2 linked regions of the Tamandua tetradactyla genome follow. The protein of the gene in region 1 interacts with the protein of each later gene in a pairwise test. Links are inferred from orthologs where the notes say so. Each region holds a gene or a part of one and is shown in the gene's direction. Other genes may lie near its edges.

Evidence for each region.
Region 2: the proteins of CD63 (region 1) and TIMP1 interact in binary tests that used the Homo sapiens proteins (3 or more experiments, as listed by UniProt). The link is inferred for Tamandua tetradactyla from reciprocal best matches to the Homo sapiens genes CD63 and TIMP1.

What each region holds. Positions count from the first base shown.
Region 1 is NC_135333.1:122,724,541-122,736,412, reverse strand, and holds CD63 (CD63 antigen), read left to right. Parts: upstream 1-6,348; 5' UTR 6,349-6,463; intron 6,464-7,030; 5' UTR 7,031-7,032; coding exon 7,033-7,098; intron 7,099-8,072; coding exon 8,073-8,261; intron 8,262-8,441; coding exon 8,442-8,516; intron 8,517-8,618; coding exon 8,619-8,714; intron 8,715-8,826; coding exon 8,827-8,967; intron 8,968-9,189; coding exon 9,190-9,273; intron 9,274-9,419; exon of another isoform or gene 9,420-9,477; coding exon 9,478-9,543; 3' UTR 9,544-9,632; downstream 9,633-11,872. Other genes in the region: RDH5 (retinol dehydrogenase 5), read right to left, coding at 10,579-10,802, 11,021-11,184. UniProt on the Homo sapiens protein: Functions as a cell surface receptor for TIMP1 and plays a role in the activation of cellular signaling cascades. Plays a role in the activation of ITGB1 and integrin signaling, leading to the activation of AKT, FAK/PTK2 and MAP kinases.
Region 2 is NC_135353.1:122,543,123-122,554,043, reverse strand, and holds TIMP1 (metalloproteinase inhibitor 1), read left to right. Parts: upstream 1-6,683; 5' UTR 6,684-6,836; intron 6,837-7,638; 5' UTR 7,639-7,646; coding exon 7,647-7,767; intron 7,768-8,554; coding exon 8,555-8,634; intron 8,635-8,816; coding exon 8,817-8,943; intron 8,944-9,173; coding exon 9,174-9,298; intron 9,299-10,106; coding exon 10,107-10,277; 3' UTR 10,278-10,375; downstream 10,376-10,921. Other genes in the region: SYN1 (synapsin-1), read right to left, coding at 1,242-1,344, 1,439-1,513, 1,605-1,747, 2,540-2,602. UniProt on the Homo sapiens protein: Metalloproteinase inhibitor that functions by forming one to one complexes with target metalloproteinases, such as collagenases, and irreversibly inactivates them by binding to their catalytic zinc cofactor.

The sequences.
Region 1 (11,872 bases):
TCTTTCTCTTGATTGTCCTTGAACTTTTCCACAGGTTGTTTCCTCTTCCAAGGACAACTTTCCCTTCTACCTCCACTTCCCCACCCCTGCAATAATCTCTGGGCCATTTTTTTTTTTTTTTTTTTTTTTAAGAGAGAGGGAGGAAGGGAAGGAAAGACAGAGAGAAGGAAGGAAGGATGGAAGGAAGGAAGGAAGAGAAACATCTTTAAACATTTTCTTGTTTTATTATATTTTGTTTGTTTGTTTGTTTTTTACATGGGCTGGGGCCGGGAATCGAACCGAGGTCCTCCGGCATGGCAGGCAAGCACTCTTGCCCGCTGAGCCACCGCGGCCCGCCCCTCTGGGCCATTTTTGTTCTTTCTTCAGGCCTCGGTATAAATGAGATTCTAGACATGTCCTCTAGGAATCCTTTCCTGACCTCCAAGACTCGATATGATGTCCCTCCTAGATATATCTGCACCATTCTGTGTGATGTGGAAGTTAATCACACAGCTTTTACTCTAAATCTAGGCTTCCTGGATTCAAATCCCAGCTTTCCGCCTTGTCTGACTATGTGAACTTGGACAAGTTACTTAACGCTCAGTTCCTCATCTGTAAGGTTTGAGGGATAACAATAGAATACCTATTTCATAAGGCTATGAAGATTAAATCCCTGCTGGTACACAATACTGAATGAGTTATTACTATCACCCCAACCTATTACCCTCATTACATTGTGAGATCCAAGAGATCAGAAACAATTTTTTTACCGAAGTACTGCTCCTCTGCAGTTCTGAATAAGGAATGAGTGAACCCTGCTAAGAAGCAGACCTGGTCAGAGTCACCACTCTTGTGAAGCTGAGTTTAGGAGCGCAAACTGTATATTTGTAGCCGTTAGGTGTTATGGGTGTCTGCCAATTATAGGGAGAAAGAGTCAGGAACAATTTGAGAGAAATGATTTCCACCTCCTGGTTCCTTACCCACCAGTTTTCTGAACTACACTTTATTCAAATAAGTGGGCAAGACTGCCATCTGGTGGTCTAATATGGAATTTCAGCTCCTTGGAGGTTGGACTAAAATCATTTGGGGGGGGCACACTTTGCATATTTTCACTTTGGATTTCTAGTTTGATAAGTTCCATATAATAATACATTAAGCCTTATCACTATCCCCAACTCCTCTGTCATCATGCCTCTTTCCTTTTGAGTTCCCTCAGGTTTGGTACTGTTTGGTTCCTTAGAGTTGCAGGAACCAGCCCCAGGAGCACTCTTTTGGGGGTTTCAAGTTTCCAGCTGTCCAGACTCAGTCTTGAGGAGGGGACCTGGCTGGCTTTAAGGAAAAGAAGTTGGGAGAGATCTGGACATTTAGACCTTTCCTCTCCTGATACCAATATAGGTTTACCAGGGTTTGGGGCCCCACCTACTGTCCTGGTCTCCTAGGCAACTGTCCCCTTGCCAGGGGTGCCCCTCAGAGGTCTGGGCGTTACCCAGGCAACCTTCAGGCCTGCCTCTTTCAAGGTCCTGACCGGTTCATAGCAAATATTCGTCTGGGCCTAAGGGAGATACTTAGATTTGAAGAGTGCGAGTTACCCGGAAAGGAAGGAGGCGGTGTCCTGGGGAAGGGGGCAAAGTTTCGGGGCGGGAAGGAAGGAGAGAGGTGCTGTGTAGCCTCCTGGAGAGGGTCCCTTACATTCCCAGAAAGAGTTGCTGCAGGTCCTGGGAGCCTGTCGCCAGAGCTAGAGGCCAGAGATGCCCAGCCACTGTCAGAGCTGCGACTGACAGAACGGAGAAATCACTGTAAGGAGGAGGGAGCCATCTTGCTGTCCTGCACCCCTTGCAGAACATCTTCCCCACACCAAAACTGCCCTGGCCATCAGCTATAGTGCTGCGCTCAGTGAGGAGTCGCAAACTTTCTTTCTTCCTCGGGGAGGAGCCCTAATCTCATCCCTTTTCACTTTTTCTTCCTAAAGGTCCTATTTTGGGGGGTGGGGGGGTGGAGGGTGGGAAGGAGATGTTAGTGGACCCATTCCCTTGCACAACGGGTCTTTCCAAGGAGGGGAGGGGGCTAGGTCGTTGGGATGTACCAGAGGAGGTGGGGCTTCCCTATGGGGCTTGCTTGTCCATTCTCCTGCCCTCCCAGCGTCAGCCTCTGGGGGTGTGTGGAGAGGCTATTCTGGGCTGGAGGAGGTAGGTTTGTGTAATGGACCCTTCCTAGGCCTCTGCCCACAAACCCTGGAGCCTCCAGGGAGGACCTCACAGTGTAATTACCATCCTCCCTGCACACCACTTTTTAAACCCTGTAATTATCCTGCTTGGGTCTCTAGGCAGCTTTGTTAACCTTTTTAGCCCCAAGGCCCTCTAGGAGAAGTTGGGAGGAGAGAGCCAAAGTGCTTGTGTTTGGGGAATGGAGACGGGATGAGTGTGTGCCTCAAAGATTTTTTTAGGGTCACTGAGTCTGACATGCTCTCAGAAGGTGCCACCTTTGTTTGGGTCACTTGTGGCCCCCATGCCCTGCAGCTGGCCCTAGGTGGGGGCATGGTGGAGCTGGAGAGCAGCCTGGCCTTGCTTTGTGGGGAGGGACAAGGGTGTCTATCCCAGTTCACCTACCACCAGCCAGTGCCAGGCACCTAAGGGGCAGCAGCCTGGGCAAACCGGGTCAGCTTGGTGGCATATCTAGATGCCTGACGCCTAAAGCAGGTGTGGGAGGCTCTGAAGGATGTGACAGGAAGGTCCAGGCCCATGGTCAGCCACATTCTCACTCACAGCCCCTCTTCCCCGAAGTCCAGCAGGCACCCAGGGCTCTGTGCTGACTCACCAGGCTATAAAAATAGGCTATTCTCGCTCCCTCCCTTCCACAAGCATATTTGCTGGGGGGCAGGGTGGGAGGGTGTATCTATGCCCCTGCACCATCTTTCCTCTCCCCTTTGCTTTACCAAGTTGTTGTCATTGCTTTGCATCTTCCACAGTTTGCTCTCAGCTTCTTGCCCTGGTGTTCCTTTAGGAGGGTCCCATTCTCCTGGCCCCCTTACTTTAGTTCTTCCTGTGCCTATCCAGATGGCTCCATTTCCTCCTCATTCCTTGGTCCATAGCAGGTGCTCCAGACCCTGCCTAACACTGCTCTGGAGAAGCCGCCTCATCCAATGAACACTTCAGTCATCTTGTCCTCTCTGCACTTTTGGAGACTTTTGGCCACTGTCCTCTCCTCTTGCCTTGAAGCTCTCTTTTCTCTTGGCCTCCTAGAGAAAAAGAGAAAAGCATTTTGGAACCCCAAGAGATCTGGGTTCAAATTCTAACACTGCCCTTTACTGCCTTGGACTCCGGATATGCTATTTCATTTCTTTTAGCCTCAGTTTCCTCATGTCTAAAATAGGTAAAATAATACTGACCTAACAGGGTTGTTTTCAGGATTACATGTGCTAATGGATATAGATGCCCAGTTCTGGCATAGCACAGAGGTCCGGTTTTGCAAGTTCCTTTCCCTTGCAGTCTCTTGACAGGCTCCTAACCCCTATCCACGTGTTCCTTAACTGTAAGGGTTCCCTGTGACTCTGCTTCTGTCTTCTTCTCTTGCTCTGACTCTCATCCACTCATCGCTTCAGATATCACTTATCTCTAGTCTGATTCCTCTCCTGAGCTTCATAAACCCAACTCCTGGTAACCCTTCACTGCCCTTCAGGTGCCTGCTGCCTTGGGTGACCACCTCCTCCTCCCCTGGGCATCCAGTTTCAGAAGCTCCAAGTCGTCGCTGACTCTTCTCACTTGTCTCCTCCTCCTTCCACATGTAAACAGTCACCCAGTCCTTTGATTCGCCCTCTGAAATGCTGGTCATATTTCCCTCCTTTCTTTTCTGGCTTCTCCTTGGTTCCAGCCCTCACTGTCTCCCTTGGACCATGGCATTGATGTTCTAGCTTTCCTCCAGGCCACCTGACATTCATTCCTCCTCATTCTGATGTGGTGTTCAATCCCAAGATAGTGTCACCCGACGGATCTAAAACTTTCTACTACTCTTCATTGCCTGTAGAACATTGGTCAAGCTACCCAGTGGCCCTCCTGGTCCTCAACAGTCCTAAAACCTGGACAACTTTCCTTTTTGCTTCCTGTTGAGAAGTACTCTCAATCAAATTACAGACATGACGTTTTGCCCTTCAATATTTTAGTATGCATCTTTAAAGAATAAGGTAATTCTTTTACATAAACATAACATCATTATCACAGCTAACACAAATAATTTCCTGATGTTGAATTCTCAGTTCATATTCAAATGCCTTTCACAGCTGGTTTGTTCAAAGATTCTATCAAGGACTAAGTATTGTACTTGGTTGGTCTCTCAAGCTTGATCATTCAGACCACCTTTCCATCCATCTTTCACTACATCCTTCCCTGAACCTTTTAAACAGCCAAATCCAGCCTGCCATGTACTTTTTAGATTACCCCTTTTTTTGCCCTGAAATGGAGCTTGCTTCTTATTTTCCAAGGTCACCTCAGAGAACACTACTGCTTCTGTGAAACCTATTCTTCTTCATTCAGTAGAGGCCCCACCTGTCCATCCCTCTGAGTTTGTCCAGCTGCCATTGGAGGCCTCTGCCCCTCTTCACAGCACTGGCTTGATCCTGCCCGAGGGCAGGACTACTGTCTTCGTCTTCATGTTGCCCCTGGAATGTGGCATATGCCCAGCATCGAATGGCAGTGCAATAAAAACAAAAAACAAAACTGATGAATATTTCTTTCTTCAGCATTCTCTACAGCCTGCCTGCAATTTTAACAGGGAGTAAGGTCCAAAACCAACTTGGTGTGTTCTGCCAGAAGGATTGTGATCCTGGAAATTTGTTCTCAGCCCAGCCCAGATCTCTTTCCTTTTGCTCTTACAGTTTTTTTTCCCCCTCCTTTGGGTACACACACACACACACACACACACACACACACACACACACTCCATAACTCAGGAAGTGGTTCTTGAGGCAGGACCATAAGAACCTAAGTGGTGGGGTTCTGGCTGGGGAAGTAGGAGTCTGATGGCTGCTCTACTCCTTTGCCTGTTTACCCCTCCTCCTTCTGGGGACCTCCTTCTGTGGGGGGTTGGGCCCCTCCCCAACCCCCCACAGAAGGGAGAAGGCAGCTTTAGCCCACCACCTCTCCTTCCAGCCACCGTCACCTGGTTTTGCTTTCTAGGATAATAAAATAAGTTTTACTTGCTAGGATGGGGTGTCTTAGGGGCCCCCATTTCTCCCCCCAAATCAGCTACTCCAGGAATGCTAGGAGCACAGATTTTGCCAACCTCCCTCCCCACCAGAGGAACTTTGATGTGTCATGATTGACTGGGTGGGGTGGGGGTGGGGCATTGCCCCTTCTCAGCCTACTGCCCAGGGGCCTTGGAAAACAGAAGCTGTTCTAACAGAGACGGGGAACAGGCATTCCCACTCTAGAATGTAGGGAGACTCTCAGGGAAGTGAGGCCAGGGGCTTTCTGGAAGTATTTACAGAAATACAGAACTTGATCCTGGGCAGTTCACATAAACTTCTGCTGACCAGGGGATGGGTGGGGACTTGAACGAAGTTGGAGGCGGAGGAGAGGCAGGGGGCCAGCTCTGGGTTAAAGATGAGGAGGCCTCCGCAATCCATCTTGTCTCTGCCTGAGCTTGAGGCAGAAAACGGCAAGTTCACTGTCAGATTCGCACTGAAATAAATGTAGTGACATCCGTGCTTCAGAGAGAGAAAGGGCCTTATTTCACCGCCACCAAGAAAGGAGACAGGAGTAAGAAAAACCTCAAATCTGTTTAGGGTTTTTATGGATTCAAGCAATGGGAGATGGAGTTGCTACCATTACAATGAAAAGTAACTGAATTAAGTAAGTAACCATTACGATTAACGAGCACAAACTACAGCACCATGTAAAGGAGTGGGAAGTAACCATTACAATAACAAGTGTAAACTATAGTATGTAAAGGAGTGGAACCATGCTAAAATAACCATTACAATAACAAGTTGAAACAACTACAGATAGTGGTTAGAAGCTCTGCCGCTTGGATGCTCAGAGGGTAACCGGGTCGCCCATCCCTCCTTGGGCTCTCACCCACCTCCTTCCCCGCTTCTCGGAACCACAGAAAACCAGGAGGCGTTTGGTCCCGCGCTCCAACTCGGGCTGGCACGGGGTTGAGGGTGCCAGAGGGTCCCAGAGCCCTGAGGTCCTGCCCTTGATGCCGACCCTTTGCAGAGCTGGACGCCGTTTTGTGGGTGGGGGTACGTGGCCCTGAGAGGGCTGGGGGCTCGGCCCTCCTTTTGCAGGCCCGGGTGACTCAGGCCGCGGCTGTTCCCGCGTCACATGAGGGAGGCTGGCGGCCCCCCGGGCGAGGCGGAGGCGGGGAAAGGGCTGCGGCTGGAGTCCGGGGCGGGGCCGCGGCGCGGGCGGGGCCGGGCGAGCCGCTCAAGAGCTGCTCGAGAGCCCCTCAGCCGCGGCGAGAGAGGAGCGCAGAGCCTCGGGGAGCCCAGGTGAGGCCGCGGGGCCCACGGAAGGCTTCGGAGCGGGGCGGGGGAGCCCGCGGGGCGGCTCCTTCCTCCCGGGGCGCGCCGCGAGCCGCCGAACGTCTGTCCGGCGCAGTCCGGCCGCTTCCGTTGCCCTCGAGCAACTTTGCTTTCAAGTTCCAGAGTCCGGGCGAGGCGGGAGGGAGGGTGCTGGCCGAACTTTTTGTTCTTTTTGGGGGTGGGGTGGATGGTGAGGTTAGAACACCGGGGAAAGTGGCCTGGGAGGCAGTCTTGGGCTGGGGATCATTTTGGAGGCTGGTTGGCGGGGAAGGGGTGGGCAGAGAGTCGGCGTCAGGCCTGAGCCCCCGGGAAGCGGCGGGCTGGGGTCCCGGCTTTGCGGCCGTAGTCCCCAGCCCTTTTGTAAGTGGGGGGAGAGGGGCCTGGGAGACGTGGATCTGACCGCTGGTTTCCGGGTGGGCGGGGCCGGGAATGGAGGCCCGGCAGGGAAGGCCTCCAGGGCGGGCCGAGAGCCCGGAAACCGCGCCCCCGCGTCGGCGGGTTCTAATCCCCCAGCCCTCCCGTCTGTCCTCGCAGCCATGGCGGTGGACGGAGGAATGAAATGTGTCAAGTTCTTGCTCTACGTTCTTCTGGTGGCTTTTTGCGTGAGTGGAGAGGAGGGGCGGGGAGGTGGTGGTGGTGGTGGTGCGGCGATAACAGGGTGCGGGGAAACCTGGCTCCAGAGTGGGGAGGGCCGAGGGAGGTAGAATGGAGGCAGCTGGAGACCAGATGTGGCAAGCCCCGGGCCAAAGACAGCTCAGCGCCCCCTCCCTCACAACTGTGGGGATCCCTGAGGCGTGTTTGGACCGAGAATAGCCAGCTGGGTGCTTAACATCTTAGCCCTAACCCCTCCTGGCTCTTCCTGCCTGTGACCCAACCACTTGTGATATAGGGCAGTGGGGTAACCAGCCAACGGCCTGATGTTATCGCCACGGGGCTTCCTTCAGCTTCCCATCCTCCTCCACCCTTTCTTCCCTTTCACCCTTCATTCCTCCCCATCCTCTTATCCTCCTTCACCCTTCTCAGCTGCTTGGGGACAGGGGAGGGCTCTGCTCATCTCATCTTACTCCTGCCCTGGGCTCTTGGCTTGTGAGGCTACTGTCCAAGGAGGGGCAGACCACTCTTGACCCCTTTTGTTCCCCTCTTCCCTTCCCTGGCCTAGGAAGGAACCATGGCCACAGCTAATGGGTGTGGGGTAGGCAATGGAGAGGGGCGGTTCTGGGAGAGGTCTGAGCCTGAATTCTCATCGGAAACACCCACTCTTGGTCAGGAGTCTGCCCTGGGGTCATGGCTTTCTGAGAACTTCCACTTTTGCTTTATGCAAATTCCGGTGGTTAAAGAGCAGCCTGAAGGAAAGCGTGACTCCCAACTCCCTTCTCCCTGAGTGCTTTGAATAAACTCCTTAGACTTCACCATGGGGCAAGGATGGGCCACCCTCTCCCACACAGTCAAAAGTTTCAGTGGAGGTGTGAGAATCTCCCTTTCCAGGGTGGGATCAAGTCTTTTTCCTCCATGGTACCCACCATAGGAGGGCTACTGGGATGTGGGTCTGGCCTAACGCTGACTGCTCTTCTCCCAGGCCTGTGCAGTAGGGCTGATTGCTGTGGGTGTGGGAGCCCAGATTGTCCTGAGGCAGATCATTACTCAGGGAAACACTACTGGCTTCCTGCTGTCCATGGTCATCATTGCCCTAGGTGTCTTCCTCTTCTTCGTGGCCTTTATGGGCTGCTGTGGGGTCTGCAAGGAGAACTACTGTCTTGTGATCACGGTGAGTAAAGTGGGGCCAGCATGGGTGCTTGGGCCCAAGGAAGGGCATTTCTGTGGTGGGGATGGAAAAGGGTGCATGAGATGGAAGACCTCTTTGCAAATGTTTCAGGGAGTGGCTGGGCTAGAGCAGACCCTCTCACCCATAGACTCCAAATCTAGCTTCTATTCCTTGTATCTGTAGTTTGCCATCTTCCTGTCTCTTATCATGCTGGTGGAGGTGGCTGCAGCCATTGCTGGCTATGTGTTTAGAGAAAAGGTAAGTGAGGAATAAGGGGAGGGCCCTGTTTCAGAGGTGTGGCTGCTCTGGGACTCAGATCCTCTGATTTCTGACCTCGGCAGCTCTCCTCCCCACTTCTAGGTGATGTCAAAGTTTAGCAAGGACTTCCAGGAGTACATGCAGGATTATCCAAAAAACAACCAAACTGCTTCATTCCTGGACCGTATGCAGAAAAAGGTGAGTGGAGTTCCTAGGAAAAGGGGTAGTGGGAGAAGAGGAATCTCATCTCCACACTGAAAGTGGAGGTTCACTTGATAACTGTCTCACTCCTATCTCTCCCTTCTTCCAGTTTGAGTGCTGTGGGGCGACTAATTATTCAGACTGGAATGCCATCCCTCTGCAACCCATGGGCAGAGTCCCTGACTCCTGCTGCATCAATGTCACTCATAACTGTGGGATTAATTTCAAGCCAGAAAATATCTATACCAAGGTAAGGAAGTGGCTGAGATAGTAAGGGACTTAGGAAACCTGGGAAGTATTTCAAGAGGCAAGGGAGACAAAGGATTGGAGGTGGAGAGGGTTTGGGCTCTGGGAAGTTCAATGTCAGGGATGGGAAGGGGTTCAGGTATGCTAGGGGTGGAAAGAGATGGCCCAGGGGAGGTGGGTGGAAAGTGTCTTATAAGGTTTTCCTTGTGCACTTCCCATCCCTCAGGGCTGTGTGCAGCTTATCGGGAACTGGCTGAGGAGCAATGTGTTGTTGGTGGCTGCAGCAGCCTTGGGCATTGCCTTTGTGGAGGTGAGAGGTACTCTGAGCAGGGGCTGGGACTCAGTGGCCTCTGAGGAGCAGCAGCAGTGGGGAGGAGGGTGCCAAGGAGGAGTTACTGGCCTGGGGCAGGGAGTCCTGGGTGGGTTTGGCATCCCTTGAATTTTTGGGGGGTTCACTGCCCTTCTGGCTCCTCACCAACACTCTTCCATGTCACCTCTTCATCTTTTCTTCCAGGTCCTGGGAATTGTCCTTGCCTGCTACCTTGTGAAGAGTATCAGAAGGGGCTATGAGGTGATGTAGGGGGTCTGGTCTCAGCCCCCTCATTTAGGGGAGTGGAATAGTAAACACCAGGTTTTTCAATTAAACGGATTATTTTTTCAGACCAAAAAGAGACAGTCTCAGTATGTCTTAAAGAATGATATTTTGTCCCTTCCCTCTCCTTATCCAAGTTCTTTGTCCTTGGGGACTGTTCTCTTCACACCTCTAGGGAAAGGCAGGCCTATTTTGGGGGGTATTTGGGGAAAGAGAATGTTTGCTGAAGACAATGGATCAGCTGGCAAGTGGAAGGGGAAATCTGGGGAGAATGTGGTCCAGTGTCCTCCCCTGTCCACCTAGGCTGGTGACCAGGCTCCTGCTGAAACATTTCTGAAGTCATCTCTTACATAAATCAAAAGGATTCTCCAAAAAGGTCCTACTTTGGAAAGCCCAGCCCACATCCACGTTGGACATCTCTCTGGCTTCTACCTACCTCTAAGGGCCCAACAGTCCCCAACCCTACCAGTCCTCAAGGGGACCCAACTTTTTTCACAGTGGCAATAAGCTGTCTTGTGTCCATTAGATTGGGGTCACGGGAGAACTTAGGTTCTGGCTCTTATCCTGGCTCTGACACCCCTTAACTCTCTCTCCTCAACCCCCTCCTTTCCCCCAGCCCTGGAGAAAAAGAGAGAAAGGCCATTCCCACTCCAAACACTGAATTGCTACTTTACTCTAACTAGGAAATCAAGGAAACTGTATGAAGTGCCCTCTTGTGGCCATTCCTCCAGGCAAGCTTTAAAGGAGATTACTTATAGATAGGACACTGTCTCCTTGTCACCGCCCACCACCACCCAGGCCAGAGACCCTGGGCAATAGTCAGCCTAGGTTAATTAACACTTAAATGGGGATAGTCTCCCACTGGGTACCCTCATTTCTACCCACCTATGTTATTAATAATTTATTTTTTAACAATACACATTTATTGAGTATCTGCTTTGTGTCAGGCACCAGGCAGTACCAGGATGGGGATCAGACTTAGTCCTTTCCCTTGAAGAACAATCTCTTGCAGGAAGGCCACATTCAGGAGACTGCCTGGGCAGGCTTGGGAAGGACCCAGGCGAGCACAGCATCCACCAGGCTGGCTGGCAGGTAGGAAGCCGGCAGCCAGAGGACCTTAGCATCCCAGCCTGGGCTGTAGCGGGTTCGGGGGTGACGAGCAGTTAGGGCATGTTCCAAGCACCTGCTCACCTTGGTCAGGTCCGGGTCACAGATTAGGTTCATGATGCGCGCTTGTACTTTCAAGTCTGCAGCCCAGTGGGGTGGTTGACATCAGTGACCCTCTTCCAGTCCAGCTCACCTCAGACCCTATCTTCCAGGTCCTGGGGCTTATTCAGCAGGGGGTGAGAGAGAGCCTCAATCTCTTTCCCAAGCTAGGGGAGTGGGCAGGCTCCACAAGGGTTGGTGCTGTCTTGTGGCATCCCGATTTCCCTTTATATGCCCCTTTAAGAGCCCAGCTACTCACACGTGGTGAGGAAGGCCTCTCCATAGCAGGCCCGTGTTGCAGGAGGTAGCCGTGCCCAGCGGGTCTGCAGGGCATCCTCCAAAGTCTCCAAGTTGGTCACAGGAGTTTGGAAGAAGCCAGGTTCCACAATGGAGACCTGTACCCCAAAAGGAGCCATGTCTCGCCTGGATGGGAGGCAGAGGGAGAGCTCTAGGTTATTGCCCTATGGGGAGGGGACCAAAAGGACATGAATGGGGTTGCTGAGATGGGAAAGTTATCTTAGGCCATGTTCAGGGGTCCTGTCAGTGAGGAGGTCCCTGCTGCCCTGGAACTAGTGGGACAGAGGAAGGGAGTTATCGAGGCTTGTTATTGTTTATATTTTCTTCTGTGAACTAGAGCAGGGGTCAGCAAATTTGTTCTTAAATGGCCAGATAGTAAATATTTTAGGCATGGCAGGCCAAGAAACAAAACTGAGGATATTATGTAGGTACTTATATAACCATTTACAACATAACCATTTAAAAATACACAAAACATTTTTCGCTTGTGGGCTATAAAACCGTAAGTGGCTGCCATAGTTTGCCAACTCCTGTTCTAAAGGAACTCCCACTTCCTAGCTCCCCATGCATATGTTTTTTTTTTTTTTTTTTTTTTTTGCATGGGCAGGCACTGGGAAACGAGCCTGGGTCTCTGGCATGGCAGGCGAGAATTCTGCCTGCTACACCACTGTGCCCCCCCGCCCCGCGTATGTTTTGAGTCCTGGGTGTTAGATATAAAAAGTATAGACTGTGGTATTTGCTGGGGGGTAATCTTATGGAGAAAGTAGGGACATATCCCACTACCCTAGCACAGATGAAGAAATCCCAGAATAAA
Region 2 (10,921 bases), on another chromosome or scaffold:
GGAAATGAGCTTTGGTTTAAGAGGTACTCGTTGTGCACCATGAGGACGGCTTGTCTTTAGATTTGCCTTACAGCTTATGAGCAACTTTAGAGCAGGAGTCAGCAAACTAGGGCCCATGGGCCAAATCCAGTCCTCTGCCTGATTTCTTTTTTCTTTCTTTTTTTTTTTATATGACCAGTGAGCTCAGAATGGGTTTTACATTTTTTCATTAGTTGAAAAAAATATCCAAAAAAATTTCGTGATGAGTGAAAATGATATGAAATTCAAATCTCAGGGTCCATAAATAAAATTCTGTTGGAACACAACCACACTTACGTGTTTACATATAGTCTATGTAGGAACTGTGTAGTTTCGACAGAGACCATATTGGCCCGCAAAGCCTAAAATATATACAATCTGTCTCTTTTCAGAAAAAGTTTGCCAATTCCTGCTTTAGGGTTTCCTAGGTGCTTGCCCTTTACAGAGGACTTTGTAGTATACATGGTACTTTACAGTGTACAAAGCATCTTGCCTTTTAAAAAGGACTATGTGATATATGGTATGTTTCGAGTTAAGGACACCACTGCTTTACAAAAAACTCCAGTGTTTACAAAATATTTTAACATATATAAAGCACTGCTGTTAACCAGGCAGTGTCTGATTTTCAGGGCATTTTACAGTTTACAAATTGCTTTACAATTTATCAAGGGGGCACCACTGTTTACATAGAGCTTTAGAATTTTAAAAGCACTTTGCTTCATAACAAGGGCTTCCCAGTTTACAGCGTTTATTTTTAATAGTTTTACAAATCACTTTGTAGTTCATCAAGCACTTCCATGATATATAATGTTCTTTACAGATTATAGAGTGCTTTACTCTCGATCTCCACTCTTTACAAAGTATTTATAGTTTACAAAGTGCTTTTCTGTTTGCCAAAGACCTCCCAGTTCACAGAACACTCTACAGTTTACCAAAAGCTTTGCCATTCACCAAGATGTCTTGGTTCACAAGGCACTTGATAGTTTAACAAATGTTTTGCAATTCACCAAGGACACTGAAGTTCATAGAGTGGGTTAGAATTTACTGAGTGTTTTGCCATTTGCCAGGCACAGCCTAGTTTACAAAGCACTTCACAGTTTACTAAGCAACTTGCCATTTGCTCAGAACCTTTTGAGTCACAGAGCATGCCACAGTTTACAGGGTGTTGCTGCTGTGCTCCTGCTCCTCTCTCTGAGCTCTCACTAATCCCTCTGTGCTCTTACCTCAATGATGTGATCCCTTCCATCCTTGCCATGCAGAGCTTCCACTGCGCAAATGTCCAGTCCCCCAAAGATCTCTGAGCACGTGTCCACCCATAGCTTGTACCTGCCAAGGCATGGGGCAGGGAAACCCATCAGGGCCCTGCCTGGGTGGCTGTGTTGCCACCCTCACTCTTCTGTCCCAAGCTTGAGCAGCCCACCTGTCAGACATGGCGATCTGCTCAAGCATTGCAGAGCCAGTGTTCGTCTTCCAGTTCCCCGACACTGATGTCCTCCTGGTAGATAGGGTGAGAGAGGGTCAGAGAGGTCTGGGGTGGACGGGACAGGGCAGGGGACCCCTCCCTGGGCCTCAGTTTCCCCACTCACATGTAGGCCTTGTAGTTCTGCCCAATCTTCTGGACACGCACATCATATTTGGCATCGATGAAGGGCTCAGCAGTGGCATATGTTTTGGTCAGTGCCACAACACTTGCGATGTCCTGGAAGTCATGCTGGTTATCCACCTTGACCTGTGAGAGTGGGGGTGGAGAGCAGGGCCTGGTCAGGATTGGGGAAGCAGTGGGAGTACCTCAGGAAGTGGGAATACATGACACACAGGGGAAGTGAGTGCACAAAAATGAGGTGGACACAGTATAGTAACAGACACACCAAGGTACTCAAACACGCATAATTCTAGGCCTTCTGTTTTTTACATGAACATGCAGACACAAAGATGTATACAACTCTGTGAACATGAAAAACCCAGAATTGTACAATTTAAAAGGGTGAATTGTGTGGCATATATCTCTTAAACTGTTAAAAAATTGGATGTATACACAGTATACACACATGGGCCCCAGGCAGAACATCGGTTGTACACACAACATACAAACATACAGAAGCACTCAAACATACAAATTACAAGTCCATTTTCTAGGTACACACAGAGACAAAGTCAGATGGATGGAAGCATACAAGGACCCCAAGACCCTTGAGCATAAGGATTATGGCTGTGGATGTTCAATACAAAGGCCTTCAGATATGTGTTTACACAATGCTGGATAAACTAACAAAAATTGCACAAAATTGGCCGAGTGCAGGATAGAAAATTGGGCCCACAAGAAAAACCAGCTGAATGTAGAAAACAAATATACAAATAGATAAAGCCCGGCCTCCCCCCGTGGGAACACAATCATACAGAATTACTGATATATGCTGAATACACAAATCACATCTATATATAAACATATGATGCCAGATGCATGCACTGTGTTCAAATACACATACACATGCAAACAACCTCCTGACCCTCAGGGACTCACCTTACCCATCCCAGAGTGTGCATGTCCCATCTTCACAACCACAGGGTACGTTGTACTGCTGAGCTGAGTAGGGTGAAAAGACAGAGGAGGTCCAATCAGGGTAGGAGGGCCCTGTGCCAGGGGCAAGAGTGGTGCGCAGGGGAACCCATCCAGTGGGAACAATGTAATGGGCCATTTCCCAGAAGAGGCAGGTCAGAGACAGGCAGACAGCAGCTAGGGGTCACACAGTGCCCTTCGAGTTGGGAATTGAACCCAGAGCCCTGCCTGCCTACCCCTCCTCCCACCACCCCCAAGTCTCCAGACTTCCTGCCCATGCTTTCCCAGGAAGAAGCATGGGATAAAAGTGGGGGACTTTCCGGAAAGGGAAAGTTTGTTTTCACAGTGGGTGAATGATGGGGAGGTGAGTGTGTGTGCATGTGTGTATAGGGGTGTGGTGGTGAGCATGTGGCAACTGGACCCCACAGCTAGGCCTTGCATGCAAGCCTTGTTCCCCACCCACACAGCCTAGAGCTACACACATTCAGAACTACACAACCAAAATCAGAGATGCCCACGCACATTGAGACACGAGATTGAGAGACCCACAACCAACACAGGCTCCAAAGCACACCTAACCTCTCAGGACACCCACAACAGTCATTCATCCAGCCACATGCTCAGCACGGGAAAGTGACCAGCCTTTTTGGCCTGCCTCCTTACCCAGCAACACACACGCAACACTCCTGGACTCACAATCAACACTTTGGGGTACAGACACAACACTGCCCCCCTCCTCTCGCCTAACCACATAACAATCAGAGGGACTCACACGATAACCCAGGCAACACAGAAACAATCCTCAGGGGCACAGCCAAAGGATACAAAGGCACATACAGCTCTGACAGGCACAGATACAAAATTGGACACATCTTCACTCACAGGCACACATATCACACCCTCAGGTACCTGCAAAACAAACAGAAGGACCTGCACAACAGAGGTACACACACATAATTCTAGGTGTTCACATAGCCGCTGCAATCCACACCACACTCCTGGACACTAAAAGTATATTTGGACGCACACAGCATGCCTTGCCATATACACAACACAGAGAGGCATACAAATGGTCAGGGACATCCCCAGTACTCCTAAGTACAAAGCTAGCACTCTTGGGTGTGTGCACACAACATTCCTAAAGCGCATGTGCACGCGCGCGCATTCACATACACATACTCGGGTGTGGGGGACACCTCAAGTCTCCCCAGGCCCTGGGCGGGATAGAAGGGATGGGGTTGGATGATCCCAGCCCTGCCATAGCATGTATGCTATGCAGGGTCTCTCTTCACGCCCCTCCTGCTGTGGAGACCAGTGTCTGACAGGGTAGAGAGATGCCATTCCCGGAGGGGATGCTGGGGCGGAGGCAGTTCCCAGTTCCCGACAAGCACAGGAAGCCCGCAGGCTCAGAGTGACCGACTGACCTTCAGACCTCACCCTCCCTCTGCCTCACCTCCCCCCCACTCCACGTTCCTCATTTCCCAAATGACTGACGTCATTATGGGGGGGGGGGGGTAGTGCTGAGAGGCTCAGTGTTGGGATGGGGTATTCCGGGTCCTCTAGGTAGCTTGCCAGGGAAACAATGCAGAGGCATGCACATGATGTAACCCTGAGGCATACACCCAGCACACAGAGAGGGAATCAAACTTTCACAATTACATAGACAACACAGATACAAAGGCAGAAACACAACTCCCAGAAGCAACAGAACACACAGGGATATACAAAACACTCAGGTAGGCATGTGACTCTCAGAAACAGACACATAAGTCTCAGAAGCACACACACAACTTTCTTAAGCACACATACAACTCTGAGGCACACATAATTCTTAGAAGCACATGCACAATTCTCAGAGGCACACACACACACTCTCAGAGGCACACTCAACTCTCAGAGGCACACACACAACTCTCAGAGGCACATACACAGAAGTCTGAGAAGCACACAGTGTTAGAGGCTGAAACATACCAGACGGCTACTCACACACATGCACACACCCCAAGGTTTCTAGATCCTTCTTTTCAAAAACAGCCCTTGTTTCCTCTGAACCTGAACACAAGACTGTGTATATGTGCCTTCACATGTGTGTGCATGAATGGACCTTTAGATCTGGGGTCCTCCTGGAGAGTTCTCAAATCTTGGCCTCTCTTCTTCCTAAGGCCATGTAGGATCCCAAGAAAGTCACTTAACCCCTCTCTGTGCCTCAGTTTCCTGATCTGTACAAAGGACATAGTCAAACCCAAGCTCTTGTTATGTTGTGGGGATTGTTGAGTGTTAGCTGTGCAGCCACCAGCTGGACATCAAGGGCCCCCACCCCCATCCGGCTCCTCAGATTATCCAACACCCAGACACCCTGCTACAAAACTTCACTGATTTCACAATGTGTGTGATAACCCAGACCAACACAGCCCCTCACATCTAAGTAGCAAACTGTGCTGACGTACGTTTCACAGAAACAGAACTAGGGTCAGCGAGGGGCTGCAGCAGAAATTTCCCTTCCCTCACTTCTCCCTCAGTCACGCTACTGACTTACTCAACCCCATCTCATTCACTTTTACTACCCCCAGGCACTCATCCACTTTCACAGCTAGCTTCTCCAAGGTCTTGGTTTACTGCCGCCTCTCCTGCCCTTCAAGAAAGTAATTTCTTCATTCATTTCTAGGAAGGTCACTCAGCCCCTTTGTGTCTCAGTTTCTTCATCTAACTCACTGGAATGTTGCTGAAGAATAAATTCGTTATTTCCAGTGTAGGGGAGGGGAATTTAGCCCAGTATCTGGCTGGCATAAAGAAAGTCTCAATCGTCAACCAATGTTGGACATTGTTATTATTATTAGTTTAATATCCCTTCATAACCAGCATTCTTTAACAAGGTAATCTAATTGGGATTGACTGAATGAGATAATGAACATACAAAGACTTTGAAAGGATGCTTGATACCTAGTAATCTCGAACTGTGAAGGCTAGTTGATGTCATCCTCCTTACTATTGGTCTAGGTGCCCTGAGTTAATCTAGTTTAATTAGCAAAGGGGGAATGGAGATTAAATAAAATAATTTACACAAAGACTTTAGGGCACAGTATACAGTAAGTGCTCAATAAGTGGCGGCTATTAGCACTATCATCTTCGTTATTATTGGTCTACTGTCCCTGAATTAACCAGGGATGTTAACCAGCTCTCAGGCCCCCAGAACCCCAGGGAAGATTCAGGCATTATCTGGAGGCTGGTGGGCAGTGATTGCCTCACCTCATGCCCCACCAGGGCTGTGGGAGGGTTGGTGGGGAAGGGGCAGGGCAGGATGGGGTGGGGATCAGTTTTCTACTGACTCACTGGCCTCTTTCACCACATTCTACTCTCTCCCTCCATTCCCTCCTTGCCAGGACTGTGCCCCGCCTGGGTTAAGAGCCTGGTGCTAGTGAGCTAGTTCAAATCCCAGCCATAACTTGTGACTCTGAGAAGGTTCTTCAGTCCTTTCTATGCCTCATAGTTTCTCATCTGTAAAATGGGAATACTACAAATACTATCTGAATTTTAAACGAGATAAACTAGGCTGACTGCCTGGCAAACAGTAGTTGCCATATAAATGCTGGCTATTTGCCTATGTTTTTTGAGGGTGGGTTAAGACCCAGCTCAGTGAAATCCCAATTCTCCCCCTAATGAATTCTGTGATCTTGGATAAGTCACTTAACCACTCTGTGCTTCAGTTTCTCCACCTTGTATTCCTCCAAGTCCCTTATCTCCTTCACTGCTTTGACTTGATTGGTTTCTCTCCGCCTCCCCTGCTCTTCACCAGAATGTCAGGAAAGGGTTTTCTGTGCATGTGCTTGGCACACAGTAGGTGCACAATAATAAATGCTTGTTGAAGGAATAAACTAATTAGGATTTCAGCCATCCCTGTGGCTGAGGAATGTGGAAGGGGTCTGGAAATTTGAGAGGACTTGGAGGAATCCTGCCTCTAAGCGCTCCATTGAGCCTGCTCGAAAGGACTGGTGCTCCACGTGGAAATGGGGGAGGGGGAAGGCTAGGGCCTGAGGCCCCGGGGGGAGGGAGAGGAGGAGGGTGCAGCCCCTTTTCCGCAGCCCAGCGGCCCGCCCCTTGGCCTCTGCAGTGATGGTGGGCGGATGAGTAATGCATCCAGGAAGCCTGGACGCCTGTGGTTTCCGCGCCGTTGCCACCCCCGCCCCTCGCACGGGCATTTATCCTGTACCGCTCAGACCCTGCCGCCATCTCCGCAGACCCATCGCCTAGAGAGACACCAGAGGTAGGCAAGGGGCCTGGGTGGCACTGCAGAGCCTGGGGCTGGGCGGGAGCTTAAACGGCAACCAGGTCTGTCCATTTCTGTGACCACGGTCTGGCTGTGGGCATCAGGATCCTGGGCTGGTCAAGGGAGAAAAGGGTGGAAGGAACTGATCCTCTACCCACACCCCCTCCCAAAACTCTCTCTACCCCTTATATCCATACCTGTGACCCCTTAATACCACAAACTCCTCCCAACCTACCAACTCCCCTAAATTCCTCCAGTTCCCATTTCCCAAACTTGTCAAACTTCAACCCCCTAAATCTGAAAACTTCCTCTACCCCCAAATCCCCCAAGCACTCTACCCCCTTCACCCCCCAAACTCCGTCAATTCCCTAAATCCCCAACCTCCAAATTCTTTAACCTTCCTAAACCTTAAACTTCCCTAGCCACCTATACCTCTCAAAGTCTACAGCCTCTAAATAATTCCCAACCTCCCCCAAACTCCTCCAGCCCCCAAACCCCAAATTCCTTACCTCCAAATTCTCCCAATTCCCCTAAATCCTCAAATTCCCCTAGTCCCCTTAAACTCTGCAGCCCTCTAATCCCCCAATTCACCAGAACTTCACAGCCCCCTAAACTCTCCCAACCCGCTAAACTTCTTTGAGTCCTCCACATCCCCAAGCCCCTTAAAATCCTCCAAATCCTCCTCCAGGACGTACTGGGGTAGATTGGGGTAGGAAGCCTGCCCAGGCCAGCAGATCAGTTAGGCTGGGAGCCTACTGACCTCCCCTCCCCTCCCTTCCCCTCCCCTCCCCTCCCACAGAACACATCATGGCCCCCTGCACATCCCTGGCCTCTGGTATCCTGTTGTTGCTGTGGCTGATAGTCCCCAGCAGAGCCTGCACCTGTGCCGCACTCCACCCGCAGACAGCCTTCTGCACCTCGGACCTTGGTGAGTGTGCACCCCATGCTGCCCATACACTCCATGTTTCTGTTCCCTCTTAGTCTGATTAGGTTGACAGTGGCACACCCAGCTGAAGAACAAGATTCCACCCATCCTTCCACTTACTCTGCTCTAGCCACACTGGTCTCCTCCCACTTACGTGAGTACACCAGGCTCAGTCCCACCTCAGGGCCCTTATACTGGCTGCTCCCTCTGCCTGGTACACCCTTCCCTCCGGGTATCCATATGGGTGACTGCCTCAAATGTCACCTTCTCAGGGCAGCCTTCCCTGACTGCCCTATTTAAAAATTTAGCCCCTGCTCCCTAGTACTCCTGAACAGCCCCCCTCCCCCACCTCTGGAATTCTCTACCACACTTAATACCTTCCAACATCCCATATACTTATTTATTTTGCTTGTTTCTAGTCTGTCTCCCCCCTTGGCTAGCATGTGAACTCCACAAGGGAAGGGATTTTTGTGTTTTGTTCACTGTTGTGTCCCTACCACCCAGAACAGTGCTTGGCACAGAGTGGGTGCTCCAAAATATTTGTGGGGAAAATGACAAAGGGATATATGAACAAGGCTTAGAGCAGTGCCTGGCAAAGAGTAGGCTGTCAATATTCGGATGGATCCATTAACCGGATGGATCCATTAACAAAGGCATAAAGCGCTAGTGTGCTGTTGGCCAGTCAGTAATCCCTATTTAAGAATGTGCTCTGCTAGTTTTATTATTGTGATTATTTAATTTTTATTGTCTGCGTGCCGTCCATTTGACTCCTTTCCCTTTTCTCCTGCAGTCATCCGGGCCAAGTTCGTAGGGCCCGCAGAAATCAACCAGACCTCCCTACACCAGCGTTATGAAATCAAGATGACCAAGGTATTCCTCCTACCCGTTCCCCAGCAATTCCTAACATCTACCTCCCCATCAAAATAGAAGCCTGAGGCTACAGGTCGAGGAGGAAGTTGGCTGTGATCTCAGGATGTTGTAGGACTTCAGCAGAACATGGAGCGGGAGATTATATCAGTAAAACAGAGATTTTTCCCTTCATCCATCAACAGATGTTCAAAGGGTTCGATGCCTTGGGGGATGCTCCTGATATCCGGTTCATCTACACTCCAGCCATGGAGAGCGTCTGCGGATACTTCCACCGGTCCCAGAACCGAAGCCAGGAGTTTCTCATCGCTGGTGAGGTCCCTCCCTGTGCCACGCCAACCCATAGCTCGGACGTTGCCTAGCAACCGCGGGGAGGGGGAGCGAGGTTTTCAAAGATCCCAGTTGAAACGGGGACCGCCCTAATTTCAGCCTATCAGAAGGCAGGGGCTTTCGTGCACGAGGGACGCCAATCAGGCGCCGCCCTTGCCCTGGGCCAGCCAATCAGAAGCTTCCTGTTGACTCTCTCCCTCTGCCCGTTCCAGGACGCCTGCAGGAGGGAGGCTTGTACATCACTACCTGCAGCTTCGTGGTTCCCTGGAGCAGTCTGAGCTTTGCTCAGCGCCGGGGCTTCACCAAGGCCTACTCTGCTGGCTGTGAGGAGTGCACAGTGAGTGCTTGGGCCCTGCTGTCATCCTGGAGATAGTTCCTTGGGCTCGTCCCCAAACCCTGGGATTGTTTCTTACTCCTCTGGCGACTTCTTATCCCTAAGGCTGCTCCCCAAATCCTAGGACCTTCCCTGATCTCTCGCTATTCCCCCAAACTTGAGGCTATTTCCTTGGAAATTCTGATTGTTCCCTTGCCCTGTGTCTGATACCTTGGGATTGGCTGTTCCCTGTTCTTCCCACTCTTTCTTGCGACTTTTCTCCAGTCCCTCTGTCTGTCCCAACCTTCTGGATTCCCTGGAATGTTCTCCAAGAACCCCAAGTGCTATTCCTCAAATCCACTGATTGTATTCTAGCACATCTGATTGTTGCTCTGCTCTACAACCTTGACTTTCCTGACACAAGGGACTGTTACCTTGATTTTCTGACTGTTCCAAGACTGTTCCCTCATGGCTCAGAGTTGTCCTCTGATGCCCCACTGGCTAAGTTTGCCAGCCACCTCCTGTTCCCTACTACTGTCAGTTGTTCACTATCCTTTGGACTGTTTGCCAGGAGACCTCCCTGCCTGACCCCCACCTAGTAACTGTCCTCAATCACCATTCCCAGAAAACTGGACCTTTCACTGGCTTAACATTACCCTGCAGAGATCAATGGCTGTTCCCCTCCAATGGGATGGGCTGTTCTTGAGTCTGTGCCAGGTGGGGCACAGACTCCCTGGAAACTTGATGATTAACGTTAAGGAGGGGAAAGTTCTGCCCCATGGGGATGGTAGGGGAGGGCTTCTCTGAGATGTGCCACCCTTCTCTCCTCCAGGTGTTTCCTTGTTTATCCATCCCCTGCAAGCTGGAGAGCGATACTCATTGCCTGTGGACTGACCTGTTCCTCACAAGCTCTGAGAACAGCTTCCAGAGCCGCCACCTTGCTTGCCTTCCACGGGAGGCAGGGCTGTGTACCTGGCAGTCCCTACAGCCCCGAATGGCCTGAATCCTACTCCCAGCAGAAACCTGAGCCTGCCCAGTGTTCACCCCCTTTCCAACTCCCATCTTTCTCCCCGATAATGAAATAAAAAGAACTACCACCCAGCAGGCAGTGTCCATGTGTCTTGTTCCACACAAACATATTTCACTGATGACCTGGTGGCGGCATTCTGACCAAAGTTGTGGGGGTGAGGGCTGCAAAATTAGTGTTTTTTAAAAATATTTTACATAAAGTTTGATATTTTGGTAATAATTCTCAACACTGACATTAACATTGGTGACCTACAACATGATTTTTTTAAATTAGAGAACTTGTACTTTGGCAGAAAAATCATGCTTAAATACAGAGTTCCCATATACCACCCTATTATTAACATCTTGCATTAGTGTGGAACATTTGGTACAATTCAGGAATGGTAATTTAACCTGCATTATCAACCACAGCTTACTGCATAGTTTCTCTAGACAATAGTTTAAAATGTTCTAATGTACTAATTTATAATTCCTATTTGCACAGGGCTCTCTAGTTTATACATTCTTCCCACTGCTGACAAATCACTATCTCAATAGTAAATTCCCCTAGTCACAAATGTCTCTAGATAACAAGCTCAATGACAGATGCCCTATGGATTGGCAAATAGCTCTCCTTGC